2 linked regions of the Drosophila melanogaster genome follow. Changing the gene in region 1 together with any one later gene gives a genetic interaction. Each region holds a gene or a part of one and is shown on either strand. Other genes may lie near its edges.

The links.
Region 2: of tsl (region 1) and fs(1)M3, changing one suppresses a phenotype caused by changing the other (phenotypic suppression), as found in Drosophila melanogaster (one study listed by BioGRID).

What each region holds. Positions count from the first base shown.
Region 1 is NT_033777.3:21,777,613-21,784,540, forward strand, and holds tsl (torso-like), read right to left. Parts: upstream 4,925-6,928; 5' UTR 4,872-4,924; exon of another isoform or gene 4,376-4,871; intron 4,294-4,375; exon of another isoform or gene 4,106-4,293; intron 2,172-4,105; 5' UTR 2,150-2,171; coding exon 1,940-2,149; intron 1,592-1,939; coding exon 740-1,591; 3' UTR 502-739; downstream 1-501. Other genes in the region: Polr1H (RNA polymerase I subunit H), read right to left, coding at 37-154.
Region 2 is NC_004354.4:5,958,243-5,966,016, forward strand, and holds the start of fs(1)M3 (female sterile (1) M3), read right to left. Parts: upstream 6,006-7,774; 5' UTR 5,916-6,005; coding exon 5,305-5,915; intron 5,232-5,304; coding exon 5,096-5,231; intron 5,040-5,095; coding exon 4,547-5,039; intron 4,496-4,546; coding exon 4,109-4,495; intron 4,047-4,108; coding exon 3,567-4,046; intron 3,510-3,566; coding exon 3,247-3,509; intron 3,195-3,246; coding exon 54-3,194; 3' UTR 1-53.

The DNA.
Region 1 (6,928 bases):
AAATAAATTAAACAAAGTTGTAATTTCTGGATTTACCATCTGGCTGAAACTCCTTCTTGCAGTTGTAGCAAATCACATTGCCCTTGACTTGAAGCTCGGGCAGAATGGAGCCGCAGGAGGGGCAAAAGCCCGGACAATTGGAAAAAATATCCATGCCAGTATATATCACCCAAAATCAAAATCAAAATACAAAAACCGCACGTGCTATTTCGGATTTCAGTATGAGCGTAACTGAACCGTTTGAAATATACCACACGGTATTAAAAATATACTTGATTCATATACTAAATACGTAAGGGTGGAAAACTAGAATAAGTCTGGTTGAAAGCCTTGATGAAACGGGTAGAGCCGTTTACCCGTTTCGATTACCGGTTCTTAATCAAAATCAATTATTCAAAATAAACTTTCAAAATAGTATTTGATATTCATAGCCAATATTACGTAATGAAAACAGTTAGATTTTAATAGCCAATATCAAGTTATGAAAACAGTAAGATTTTTACTTTTATCTTTACTTTGTATTAAAGTTTACAAAACTATTACATCAATAAGGCGATCTTACGGTCTAGTTAGCTGAAATGCAAGTCGGATGTGTACTGTGTTCCAATTAAACTACCTAAAACTATCACAGGCAGAACATTAACTACGCACTAGAGGTTCCTAACTACAACTAAGCATCTAGGAACTATTGATCCTTGGCTGCCACATATCGCACAGTATATATATATTTAAAATGCAGCTATCGGGTGGGATGACTCTGCGGCATGTTAAGCTCCCAGAGCTTCACATTGTTGTCGAGAACCTCGTGGTACCAGCTCTCCTTTTCCGGCTCCTCCCGGAAGATGGGCTTCAGCGACTTGAGGTCCAACTGCAGTATGGCATCGTTGCCGAGCAGCGAGTCCAGGGATCGCAGTAGAGTACTATTACCGTGCAGTTTCAGCAGGGTCACATACTTGACCACATAGTACTCGTACTGCAGCTTCCTTCTCGCCCATCTTTCCACTGTAGCATTGGCACTAGCCGATCGAATCTGGCCCAGATGGGCGGCAAACCAGGGCGCAAAGTAGTTGTAAAGATCCAACTTGGACAGTCCGTTCAGACCTTTACTCTTGATTCGCTCCTTGATCATGCTGTAGTTCTTCCTGCTGTACACAAACACCTGATACAGCGAATTGCCGGTGGTGTATGAGTTTACGTAGTGGGTGCCCACATCTTCCATAAATCGCACTGCGGAAGTTATATTTCCGATTTGCAGTTGATCCATTCTCGATCGCACATCCGGCTCCAAGGGTTGGTGCACCGGAATCTCAGCGTTAAGACGCCCCGTTTCCCTGAAGCGCACCACCCTCACCAAAACATACGAGTAATCGCCTTGGATGAAAGATGTATTGATGCCCAGCTTCTTGGCCGCATTATCCGGAAACCATCCGCCAGTAAATGCCTCCCACGGTTTGTCCATTCGCTCAATGGAAAAGTCACGGAAGTAGGCCTGGAACAGTTGCCTCCGATTCTCGCAGAACTCCATGTGAAAGTCTCCATGAAAGATTCCGGGCGTGGTGTCTTCATGACTCTCCGCCAGGCCACTCAGATTCTGAAAGAAAAAAATCATTAATTATCTAATTGTCTAGTCAGCTCAATTATCAGGTAATAAATATCAAGTGACATACTTGAATAATCGTATATAATGATCGTTTTCCTAAATCTGATCAAACAAATATAATAAGCGCTCATTCTAACGACAAACGTGGCGGAAGTGAACAATATAATTACAACTAAAAATAGTTTTAAGTGATAACAACTTTAAACCCTATTTTAAAATTTTGATTATACTCCAAATAATTATGGTGATTGTGGTTAAAGGTTAATACAAACAATTCCGAGTTCATCAACGCCATTTAATTTATTAAATGTAAGCTTAACTCTGCCTTAAGTCCCTTACCCTATAGATGTTTTTGGTGGGCTCCTTAAACACCCAGCGATCCGGCTCCGAGTTGTCATTGAGCGGTATCACACGCATGGAGATTCCCAGGTAGCCATAGCGCAGGAATATATTGATGGCCTTGCCGATCCGGAGCTGGGACTCGCGACGACCTCCATCCGCCAGGAGCGCCAGGGTCAGCAGCCAGAAAAGGCCAGGCCACGACCGCATCGCTCAGCATTCAAGGTTAGATCTATAGAGGATTATAATAGAAATATTATATTGCAAATTTAAAGCGATTACACTTGAATTAGGCAAACGTTTCCATATTCCATATCCATATAATCCCTTGCTATAAAATATTATTGATTGAAACAAACGCAACCTATTCCGATCTCTTATAAAATTCGCAATTTAACAATAATGAGGCATATCTATCCCACAATAATTTATTCAAGTGACTAGATAACTCTTGATTGCAATGTGCATATTGATGACAAGCAAGTACAAACAGCGCTATACCATCCGAACTCATTACTCACTTAGACTAAAACCGGAAAGTTTTACAGCAAGCTACTTCGGTGGTTTGTTTATATTTTATAGCCAGTGCAGTAGTTGCGATACAGTGGGGTTAACTAAACAGCAATAATTGCAGGGCCGCCGTGTTTGTTTTCCACTCCATAAACGGGCGATAATATAAGCGCGCTCTAATTGGCCATGAACCTTCAGTGGCGCTGAACTTGAACCGACCAAGTCGACTTGGGTAGAGGCCACCAGCTGGTGGTGATGATGAGCTGGAGCTCTGCGTAGCTCCACTCTGATCACCTTAAGTGGATGCAATTAGCCGCAGGCTCTGTGGCCGTAAAAGCAGCTACAAAGTATAGCCATCAAAATTGGTTCGGCTGTCGCTTTGACTTGCAAATTATTTCCTAAAAACATTTTGCATGCCTCGTAACCGTTTTCCTATAGTTGGCCCACTACACTTCAGAGGACCGGTTATGCCGTTTTTGTTTTTTTTTTTTTTTTTTTCTGTCCAAGCATTATGGCCGGCAAGGAAGCCAAACAAATTGGCCCAAGCCAGACATATACACACATTCTAACAGCTTGGCGAGGCAGCTTTTAATTCGAGCCGTTATCACAGAACGAGCGACGTGTTTGATGGGCCAAAAACACAGAGGTTAGCCGGGTGTTAGCCACGTTTGTGAGTCACACCTGTCGACCCGACGCACTGAAGCGCAGCACCAGACAAAAAAAAAACACAAACGCAGCCATGATGAGACTCAAATGTTAACCATTTACGTGAACCATAAAATGTAGGCGTCGCTAAACTTGTCCAGCAGCAAAAACTAAACAAAAAACAGCAGGAAGAGTGACTGAATGAAACTAGCCGTGAATGGAACAAAGAAAAAGAGACATTTGACTACTGCATCTTGTCTATACTTGCCTATAGTACATATATTACTGCCCATGGGCGCGATTCCAGGAAATATTTGTTTGCACATTTTATAAACACATGAATATTTGCTAAATGCTGCAATCAGCTGTCTTGACCTTACAGATGAACCTCACAGATTGCAATCACTCTACGGATTTAAACATTCTGACTCGGCATAGAATACGATTTCGAAGGCTTCCAACTTCTGGCAAACAACTAATGCCCAAATGAGCTTAGTTCTCCATCGCGAGACCCAGAAAATCAAACTGTCGCACAATTGCCAAACTTGAGGTTCAAAATTTGAGATCCGCTTGAAAGGCATGTGTTATGTGACTTAATGATAGTTAGTTTTGTCGGTGGGGGTATTGACAATAGCGGACGCATAACCTTGTGCAAAAGACCCCAAAAAAAAAAAGAAGCCGCGAACCGGAGTTCGAGATGAAGAAGACGAATTAAATCAAAAATTCAATGCGCGCACTCGGACTCCAAAGCAAAGGCAACTAAAAATCAACTCGTTCAACTGTGACTCCCTGTGCACTGGGAGAAAAGAGTGTGGCTATCTAGGACTAGAACTGAATAAGAGAAGAATCAGTCAGCTCTTAACTCCTCTTTTGAGCTATTTGGAATCTTATTCCAATTGTTTATGCTTTTATCAGATTTAAATCGTTATTAGATTTGTTATTTGGCCTATATTTATCCAATAAGATTTTATAATGTGTATTTTTCTTGGACATCCTAAAAAACCTGCATACATTTCTCTCAGTGCTTCCCACCGTGGTTGTCCGCGGCCCAGTCAATTGGAGATTCTTTATGCGCATTTCATGAGCTCTTTTGTGGTAGTAGTCTGGAGTAAACCCCGGGCGAAGGGCACAGACGTGGGGCATAAGGTCTGCAGTTTATATCGCGCTTAATTTTATGCTTGGTCCGTGTGCGTTGTTTCCTTGAGCGGTGTTAAACAAAAGTTGTCTTGACTGCTGCTGAGGTGCTGCTGCTTTTGCCACTTTTGTGGTAGTATTATTTACCTGCACGAGAACTCGAACGCGAATCGAAATTGACGTAACCATCGGCCAGAAGCGGCTTGTTTTATTTTCGGCAGAAGCTTGAAGCTCCGGCTAATTCTATATGCCAGTCGACACAAATCCGCAGGTCTAGAGTTGTGGCTCGCCACTGGTTAGCCTTATCGCTCTGATACCGGGGGCCATTGCACAAGGCTGGTTGGCTGGCTTTATGGCTGGCATTAGCATCGTTAAGACTCCGATTTTTAACGCTTTGTGGGTCAGAGGTCGGCGGCTTGGTTGGCGCCCTCAAGTGATAAGACGGATCTATGAATAGATCGCTGTGGTTCGAATTACATGCGTTTGCGCAGATTTCAACAACCAACAACGTACACACACACACACACAGGCAGTCGTCAAGTACCCTGAACGGCAAACACTAAAACAGACTTAAAACACACTAAAACGAGCGACGACGTGCCTTCAATTGCAATTATAAGCCGGAATTTGCGGCAGCACTTACACTCAAAACGCGAGCAGCACACCTTCAAGCGCGAAGACTCAAAACCTAACTGAAACTGGCTACCAAAAACTCGATCGCCGGAGAGAACAAGCCGATCCGTTCAAGCAGCTACAGCAGCAGCAACAATATATGTTGCGCTACGACAGCAACATGTTGCTGCTGTGCGTCGTGTCGTCTGATCCAACCGAGCAACTGGCAGCAGTTGCAGTTCAATGACTGGCAGCCAGCAGAAGTTCTACTCCTCCAACGGTAGTGGCTATGGCTAATGCTAATGGCCTGGCACAAATATCTATTGTTGACATCTGCCGTTTGGGGGGACAGCTTTTCCGCTTATTAATATTTCCGAGCACGTCGTTCAACTTCCAGTTTTCTTCAATGGCGCGGGGAGTCGGAGGGCTGCCGAATCGAGGCAGATTGAAATGATTGCAGTTTACCCGGGCCAGACTTGCGCAAGATTCCCATAGAACTGGGCGGCCAGTAATCAAAAACTTTTGGTACTACTTGTGCAAAAAAAAAACTAATAATGAGACCAAAAGTAAGCCGAAAAATAAAAACGAAAACGAAAGTATCAAATTCGCATTACCTTGAAAACATGCTAACAAATTTGGGTCAACTCAAAGTGTTGGGCGACAACGTTTGAAGTTCGAGTGTAATGTTTCAATTAGAAGCTCAAGATACAAATGTATCTGTATCTGTATCTGTTGCTCAAAGAGCCATGGCTGCAGGGCATCCGCTTTGTCGCATTTGCCTTGACTTCCAATGGCCATTGGGAATTTCTGCAAAATTCGCTGCTGGCTTCTAAGAAATGAAAAGGTTCTGATTTGAAGTCTTTTTTTGCTGCTGATATGGGGGGGGGTCTTTCTTTTGGAAGAGGCGTTGGGGGAAGGGCTTCCGAAAAGTATTGCAAAAGCTGGTTGAAATTGTATCTCTCGTATATTTTTCTCTTTTCATATATAGAAGTTCATTTTATTACTTTTGTTTCGGTTTCTGTGTGGGTTTTGCTTTGTCTTTGCAGCATGCATGATTCAAAACTTATGTATTTAAAATTCGGTATTTCAGTGTTTACTCGTTTTTATTTAATTCTCATTCCAGTTTCTTCGGTTCTTTTTCATTTAATTTATTATTATTAATCCCATGTTTAAACTATGTATATATAATGACATTTTTATCATTTATTTTAAATGATATTTACTAACACCGCGGCCTTCTGCGCCCCAAACGATCGATCGATCTGCCGATCCATTCATTTCACTTCATTTATTATTATAATAACAATTCACTCAATTAGCTCAAATCGCGTCAATCTACACATATTGACATTGGAGATCATAAGCATTTTCAACTCATCTTTACCATCGTTACCCTCGGTATCATATCATCATCATAATGATCATTGACTTATGAAATTAGAGAAAAATTCTAATTCATTTGGTTTACGCGACCGTGTTCATCTCACTTCTGCGTCTTCCTTTTCTTTTTTTTTTATGTAATATCAACAATAAATTTTTACTTAATCTTAGTGTGAAATTATTCTTAGAGTACAGCTACAATCTGCTCGCATCGGCTAAGAAAAAAGGATCAAGTAAAAGTACGAAACGAATCATTCGAAATCCTAGCTCAATCTCAGGATACTCTCTGTCGGTATCGTTTTCTTTTTTTACCCCCCATTTCCAATTCATTTCAATCGTTCCTAATCATTGTAATACCGTAAAATATAAGATTTTGATTTGAGCATTCTTTTCCTAATCATTTCATCGATTTTTGGTGTTTTCTGGCACACTTAGCCTGGTTGGGGGAGCTTCAAAATGTACATACATCTATCTCAAGCCGTGTCATCTATAAGGTTCCTCCTCCTATCTGATCTCATCTCATCTCATCTCGTCTCGTCCGTTCGTTCAATCTATCGTTCGCTTTAAGGTATAATACTTAGTTAATTTGGCCACTTGGCTGCATTTGTGGTTGTGGGTAGGTAGTTAGTTCTTCAGTTTTTCGGGTAGGTTCGGTTGTTCTTCTTTTTTGGGATACTTCTATGATTTGCATTGCCTCTCCTTAACTTC
Region 2 (7,774 bases), on another chromosome or scaffold:
AAACATAATTATGTACAGTACAAATACACATAGATTACAATATGATACAGATTTTAGCCCAGTAGGGCTTTCACTAGACTACATTCCCGTTTCTTTCCGCAGAGCAGCAGAATAGGGGTCTCGGCGGCTTCAAGCATTTGACCAGATTTCACCAGTGACCACGCCCACTGGTCCTGTTTCTTAATGCCAAACGTACGCTGTTGCCAACCGCCTACTTCATTATAGCTGAAGAGGTAAAAGTGTTCTTCCTCCGGCTGCGTTACTACCAATAGATATTGCTCATTTCCAACTTTGAATGGAGTTAGTTGTTGAATGCGCTCCTGGAAGCTCAACTGCTGGATGGGCTCAAACAGAATTTCCGCGGAATGAGAGTACCGTTTAAAGATAGCTATGTGTCGACAACCCAAACAGCTGACCAGAAGTTGGTTTCCCTGCATCTCTGCCAGGTCATATGAGCCCTGGATCAGCTGAAGCATTTTGAAGTTATGATTTAAGGGATCCCTATAATGGATGGCCAGGACAGGACGATGATTACTCATGCCACTGGTGAGTATTAGATCCTGTCGGGACTCTACCCCCATTCGAACCAACTTCATAAGGCGCCCATCTGCTGGTAGCACGGATTGCCAATCGGTGAGACTACAGTTGCTCCTCTTCAGACGCAGGACACGAACTTCCTCCTCGGTGCCCAAGAGCAGCAGCACCATTTCCCCCATTTCCAGCAGTTCCATGGCTTCCACTGATTGACGCATTCCCAGCGTATGCGTTTCATTACGGCAACTAATTCTGATCCTGCTGCGCAATCTTCGTGCTGGGCGATGACAGTGGTTCTGCACCTTCACCCGGATATCTCCGGAGTGAAGTCTCATCAGTTGATTGGACACACTCGAGTTGGCCAGGAGGACGCGACGTTCGTGGATCAGGAGCTTGGCTTGTAAAGTCCTACGCTGACATGGAGCAGAATAACCCAAGGGCAGGCTCACCTGCAGTTCCGAAGATCCCCTAAAAGGGCCTTTTACCCAAGTAGACTCCAGACTTTCGGTGTCGTGATCCAGGTAAAGTAGCCTCCTAGGCGAAGTTTGATTACCCAATGCTAGAAGTTCTTGAAACTCCTCTAACGGATTGCTTTGCACTTCCGTCGCTCGCATTCGATTGGGAATTTGACTTTGAAGTCCTGCTAAAACTAGTCCACCTGGGAAGAGAGCTTTGTCCAGAACTAGACTATCGATGTTGTAGTCCTTATTTCGAAAGATGCTGCCCCTGAAACTTTCGCTAAGCTCACGTCCATTCAGATTCATCACATGACCGGGTCCAGTGAACTCCACTCCTCCACGAAAAGTCTTGGCACCCGTGATGCTCTGCGTCCGATTGCTATGCCGAAACACCAAGTTATCCAATTGAATGCCATTGATAGAACGTAGAAGAGGCTTTCCACTCAGCTGAAGGTGCTCAAAAGTCAGTGAACCGAATACCTCCAATGCGTCTCCCTTTAAGGGAATGCGATGTTGTAGAAAGTAGTCCAGATTCATGTTGTTTACGGTTTTCAGATTCAGGTCCTGTTCGACAAAGAGGTTCTTGAACGTTACGGGTGGCCAGGATTGCCCCTTGCCCTGCTGGTATATACTTTGTATCGGAGCTCCATTCACTTCTGGATACTCCAGTTGAAGTTTGCCTATTTTTGGAGCCTGATGAAAGTGAAGATCCGCTGCAATGGCTTCTCCACTGGAGAGGCGGTACAGTGAGGCATTGAATCGTCGTATATCGATTCCGTTTACCAGCTCAAAGTGTGCATCCTGCTCCAAGTGTAGAGTATTAGCTCTAACTAATCCCTGTAGCTCTTGCGGAGCTGTTATCACCTGGGTTTCGTTTGTGGGGCTCCGGCGAAGTAGGGCATCTTCGGCCAATTGAGTGAAGTTAAGATCAATTGGCAGGGAATGCTTACTTTGGATATCCTTTAAGTAGGGTTCCTTCAGTAGAACGTGTCCGGCAATGGTCTGGTTGCCCACTCTCCTGACTGCATGCTGGCGTAGGTAGTCTAGCTGGGATTGGGACTGCTCTTCACCATCCCATAGAGCATCGCCGGTGACTATCAAATTCCGCCAGGGAAGTTGCTGCACTTGCTCCACTCGTTGCTTGAGATCATTTAAAACTGCCTCATTGACAAAGGGACACTTTAGGCTGCCATTGATGTTCAGTTGCTTTAGGTAAAGATCTCCTTTTAGTTCTAAGTCTTTGCGTGTGTCTATAAATTCCTCCTTGGGTACCCCATTTATTCGATTTACATCCACATTGGTGGCCATCATGCGGTCGAAAGTGTAAGCACCACTGATTTGCTGGGGTGTCATTCGCAGTAAGGTGTTGTCGAGCAGGGAACTTAGATCCAAATTATTGATGTGAGGACTTTGCAGGGCATCATTTATTTGGACATCGGCCATGAATGTCTTTTTACCCCGTATTTCCGCGTTAGAATCAGATCTCACCAGGCGATCTAGGTACTCGTCCCATTGGATTCCATTAATGTTCTGCACTTGGACAGCCTTGTCAAATCGTACATTTCCTTCGATCAATAGTTGCTTGTGAAGAAGTAGGGGCTGTTCACCATCTTCCGAAATTTTGGACAGCAGTTCATCGAAGGGCAATCCATTAAGTCGCCGAAAATGAAGATTCTCCAGATGTGGGGTTTCGGTTAGTTCGAGGCGTTGCAGGCTGATATCGTGACCAAGCAGCTGTTGCAATGGCAATCCATTAAGATGACTCACATTCAAATGATCATGAACGTTGATATCATTCGCCACCACCACACGGGCAAAGGTCTTTGTACCCGTAAAGTTTTGGGTGGTGTTTGATTTCACCACTATTTCACTAACAGGTACTCCGTTTATTTCATTGGCTTGAAGTGCTTGAACAGTCAAAGGTGCCTGGAAGTGTTTGTGCCCCGTGATATTAACAGCGTCTCCATGACTCACTGCATCTTTTGCGATCTCCGCCAAACGGGAACTGTAATCCCTGCAAATAACATCGCCCAGTATGGTTGCATTCATAAAGATAATGTGTAGAGTGTTATTTGGGTGAGTATGTTGGTTCTGCTGTCCTCCGCTTAGGAGATGATCCCTCACAGGATGACCGTCAACATAACTGGTGGTCATTGAGGGAACACTAACTCTGGCATGTCCAAAGGTCAAGTTAGTGAGGTTCTGCGGAAAGACTATTGTCATTAAAGTGAATTAAATGAAGTTGAATCTCAACCTGTGGCGTCTGATCAAGAAGGTACGTAGATTGTATATCTTTTCTGGCGAGAGATTGGTTTCCGAGCACTATAAGTGAGTTTGCCGTGTCTCGCAGGACATTTGTGACCGTCAGGGATCCGCGGATGGTTACCCTGCCCGTGTAGTACTGTTGAAGACGTTGTTCCATTGGATCGTCGAGTTGTCTGGGCTGTGGCTGCCACTTGCTCGTATTGCCCACAAAAATGTCACCCGAAACACTCATCTGATTGATGCGAACAGGAGCTGAAAAATATGGATTTGTTAAATGATTTAATGGAATATATCAAGGAGGACACTAACTTTTTATCCATGTATCATTGCTACCGCGATGAAGTACATCGTGGGCAAAGTCAAGTCCATTTACTTGCTGAGCCTCCAAACGCGGAGCAAAGAAGGCGGACATGTAGATATTCGAACTGATCACCTGGGCACGCCGCAGATTAAAGAGACGATCCACCACGAGTCCGTTGAGCAGAGGTGTCTTTAGACTGTTCACCCGGACTCGCGATTGCATAACCAAGCGTCCTTCTATCGAAGTGTCACGACTGCGCAGGAAGAGCGAGTCCAAAAAGTCGTTCCACTGCACTCCGTTTATCTGTTCCACTCGGAGATGACGAACTACACATTCACTGCCACTGGTTTCCTCAGGCGCAATCTGGGCACCACTGGAGTTGCGGAAATCTTGGGGAGTAACCAATTGATTTACCCTAAGCTTTTTCGTCTGCAAAGGACTGTTTCTGATGGTCAACATAGGTGGTTTTGAGTTATCCAAAATGTGGCCTGTAAATTAGGAAGAAAAAAAAGATTTATATCATATTCTATTCCTGAATTCCCATACTTGCCTGAAATTAGCTGTCCCTTGTAGATAAGATTGCCCACGCGCAATCGTCGCGCTTTGAGTGTCTCCGGCTCATCGTTCTCGTTTCCTGTCCCAAAAGAGCGTGTGGTTCGCCTGGTCTGGATCGCTTTAAATCGTTGACGAAGTTCCTCCAAGCGTTGCTTTAATTGGGTGGGCGTGCGCAGATGTTCGTCCACCAACTGAAGTCTTCCTATTTGTCCTTGCTGCACTAGATGCAGTGGCGTGTCGAGGTGGATGGCCGATTTGCGTTTTAAGATGTCCACAATGTTTCTCAGGTTTTCTGTAGAGGAACGACGGCGCAGCAGGAGGCCACGTAAGGCATTGATGGACTCCTCAAACTCGTGACGATGCAATTGGACAACACTTAGATCTGTAAAATCACTAGTTTCAAATTTCCACTACAGAGTTATATTAAATGTACCTTCATCTGGAGCAGCGCCCACTTGGTTGGAGATTTCTTCCACGCCACCCAATTGCACAGTTCGGATCAGATCACTCGAGGATCTTCGATAGGCCAGCAAAAGAAAGGTCTCATTGTGCAAGTTTTTATGAATAAGTAATCCACTTGGATCCGCTTCTCCAGCCACCTGAAATCCACTATAGCAATCCAGGCGAGTGGAGCTGAAGACGATCACCTCGCCATTGGCACGGGCACCAATCAAAAGGTGACCCTTTTTGGTGGCACTCAATCGACGGAAACTCAAATCTTTTCGAGCATGCTTTCGGTACACCACAAATTGTCCATCCACCATTCGGAAGAAAATACACGAGGCAGATGCAGAGGAAGTACAGGCGATGAGGCAGTTCCTCCCGTGAAATCTAACAGCTTGGACACTTTGCGCCTGAACTGTCAAAGCCTGGCGTTGTTGCAGGATTCGGCTGTTTCTATCCAGCTCGTAGATTGTGAGCACCAGCTAGAGGGAAACATAAATGAATTAAGAACCATCTAAATTATTAAAAGTTATATCACCTTTGACTGGGAACCCTTTAAAGAACGACCAAAAATGATATAAAGTGGCTGACGACCAACCACTTGGAGAACGCGAATGGCGGGTAGAGTGATCTCCTCGAGTGGATTAAAGTAGGTGTCCAGCCACTCAAAGGTTCTGTGAGGAAGTCGTCAATATTATGAATGAATAATGAATCAATTTTTAATTGAAAATGTATGCCAATCCCAACCTGCATTTGCTGTGTGATCTGGTGTGATTGGAGGCCACTAGGAGGAGCACCTGATCTCCACTGGGTTTCAAAAGGTGCAGCTGTAGAAAAGCACCTGGCAGCGAGAACTCCTGGAGGGGCTCAAAGCTCACCTGTGTGGCTGGATCTTCGGATAGGAGCAGTTCCTTGGGCAACTGGTAAACCTCCATGGAATCATCCAGAACGATGGCAAGGAGCAGGAACTCCCGCCAGGCCACAACCTCTGCTCCGAGAGCTCTGCGACCACTGACCTGGCCCGCCAAGTAACCAAGCGGCACTAGACGCCTCTCCCCAGTGGCCACGTGCAGCTGAAAAATCTCGTGTCCATGGAGCAGTAAAAGTAGATCCTCTTCCGGTTCGCGGAGCACAAAGAGTGGCTTCTCATGGCGCACCATCATGTCCACAAAGGGCAGACGGATTTCCGGGCCAGAGCTACTGCCATTCAACCCATTGCGACAGGAACTGGGCAGCAGCTGGGCAGCACTCGGATCTCCAGCGACTTCTGCTGCTGATAATTCACTTTGTACTTGGGCGATATAGCTATTTAACACTAACACACTAAATAATGCTGCACACACGCTTGGCGAAATCATTTCGCAAGGATTGCAGGGACTGTTGTATCTAGTGATACTAAACTACAATGATATATTCAATCCATTCACATGGCACATTACTTTTGGTGTGCCATTTCTCTTGTTCGTAACTGTAAACCAATTTATACTTCGTGAGAGAGCTCTAGTATAACTGTAAAATGAAAAGAAATACTGTGAGTGACGGAAAGCGCGCGAAAGACAAAAACTCATCGAACAGTTGTTGTTATTCCGTTACAGTGGAATAAACAGAGTTACTATATGTAGAGTGAAATATGTATATTTTTGTAGTTCCTGGTTTTCCGATTTGAGTTCTCAGCCTGAATGTAGGCAACGGAAAGTGCTTTCATTTGTGCGCTCAACGAGCATTTTTCCCATGTGTCGCATTAGTTTTCCCCGATTTTCTCGGCACTCGTCAGTCAATCCGCGTCTCTCCGTCCTGCTTTCTCCGCCTGCAGCAGTGACACCTTGGACTGGGAATTAAATTTTTCGTACGGGGTTGGGCAGTGGGGAATGGGGCATATAAGGCTGGGGATCTAAAAATAAGGCAGACAAACTTGGAGAGTGCCTTCGACGTTTCTGCTGAATCAATCAGCTTCGATCATTAGTCGAGGTCATTAAAGACATTAAACCTCGAGCCACCAAAAAAAAAAAGATAGAAAGGAAGAGAGCATTTAACACGGAAGAGGGAATCGCATAAAAATAAATTTATATGTACGTATGTATGCACATACATACATATGTATGTGAAATATTTTGGGGGCGGAATGGGCCTTACCAAGTCACCCATAAATCCGCAGCTTTAACCTAAAAGGTGGCCACATTTGTACTTGCAGTTAAATCGGATTTAAGGCACATATAAATATGTATTAATAGGTGTACAAGAGGAAAACGGTATTCATGTCATCGCCCTCGGGGTCAGGATTTGGGGGCATCCGTTGGGAACACCCGCTGAAATATTTACTTTGCCCAAAATCTGATTGATCGCAGCATTGACATGTTATGCAAACAACATTCCAGTGTAACGAATATACAATTGTAAAATAAATAAGAGCAAAACATACAATCGGATGTTAAATTGAGGTGAACTTAAAATTTTGTAGATCAAAATTGGCTTTTATGTTTTAAACTTTCAAAATGTAACTTTCCTGAATGCCCTTTTAAGTTTGTACCATTTCTAGTTGGCTTAGTGCATGGCTAATACCAGCTGTTGGTTTCAGCAGATGTGCTCACTGGTTGCGTGCTGCCGATTTGGTTCATTTCATTTCGGTTTTTGTTGTGTCCTGTTTCTGTTGACCATTTCGAGCAGTTGCCGTCGCGCTTTTCGTGACTAATTAGCAAATTCGCGACACCCGTTTTGGGAGCATTTTTTTCTGCGTTCGTTGTTTGGCGTTTGGCGTCACAGGCCAAAACCCAAGTCACCCCTCCCCCAACACACTAAACCATTAACCATTTCGGACTACCGCTTAACGGTTAACAGAAGCAGCTGATTGTCATGCCTGCGGCTCATCAGCGGGCTCATAACGGCGCTTTTGGAGTGGCGGTCTGTGATTTGAGTGCCTCCCCAATGGGATACTCTTCTGCCAGAGAGAGGACGAGAGTAAGAGCGAGAGAAAACTCTTTCTCCAGTAGCCAAAACTCCCCAAAAAGCGCTCCGCTTACGCACCACTCTCGCTCTCCTTTTTCTCTTCCTTTTCTCCTCGCGAGTGAGTCACGCAGCTAGAGCTAGAGCTGGAAAAACATCGATGCTCGTCGCCGTCGATGTTTTCGATGTTTTATGGCGAGAACATTGACTATCGAAAAATAAACGAAAAATATTACTCTTTCTGTTCTTTTTGTGTGCATTCGTATTCGTATTAATA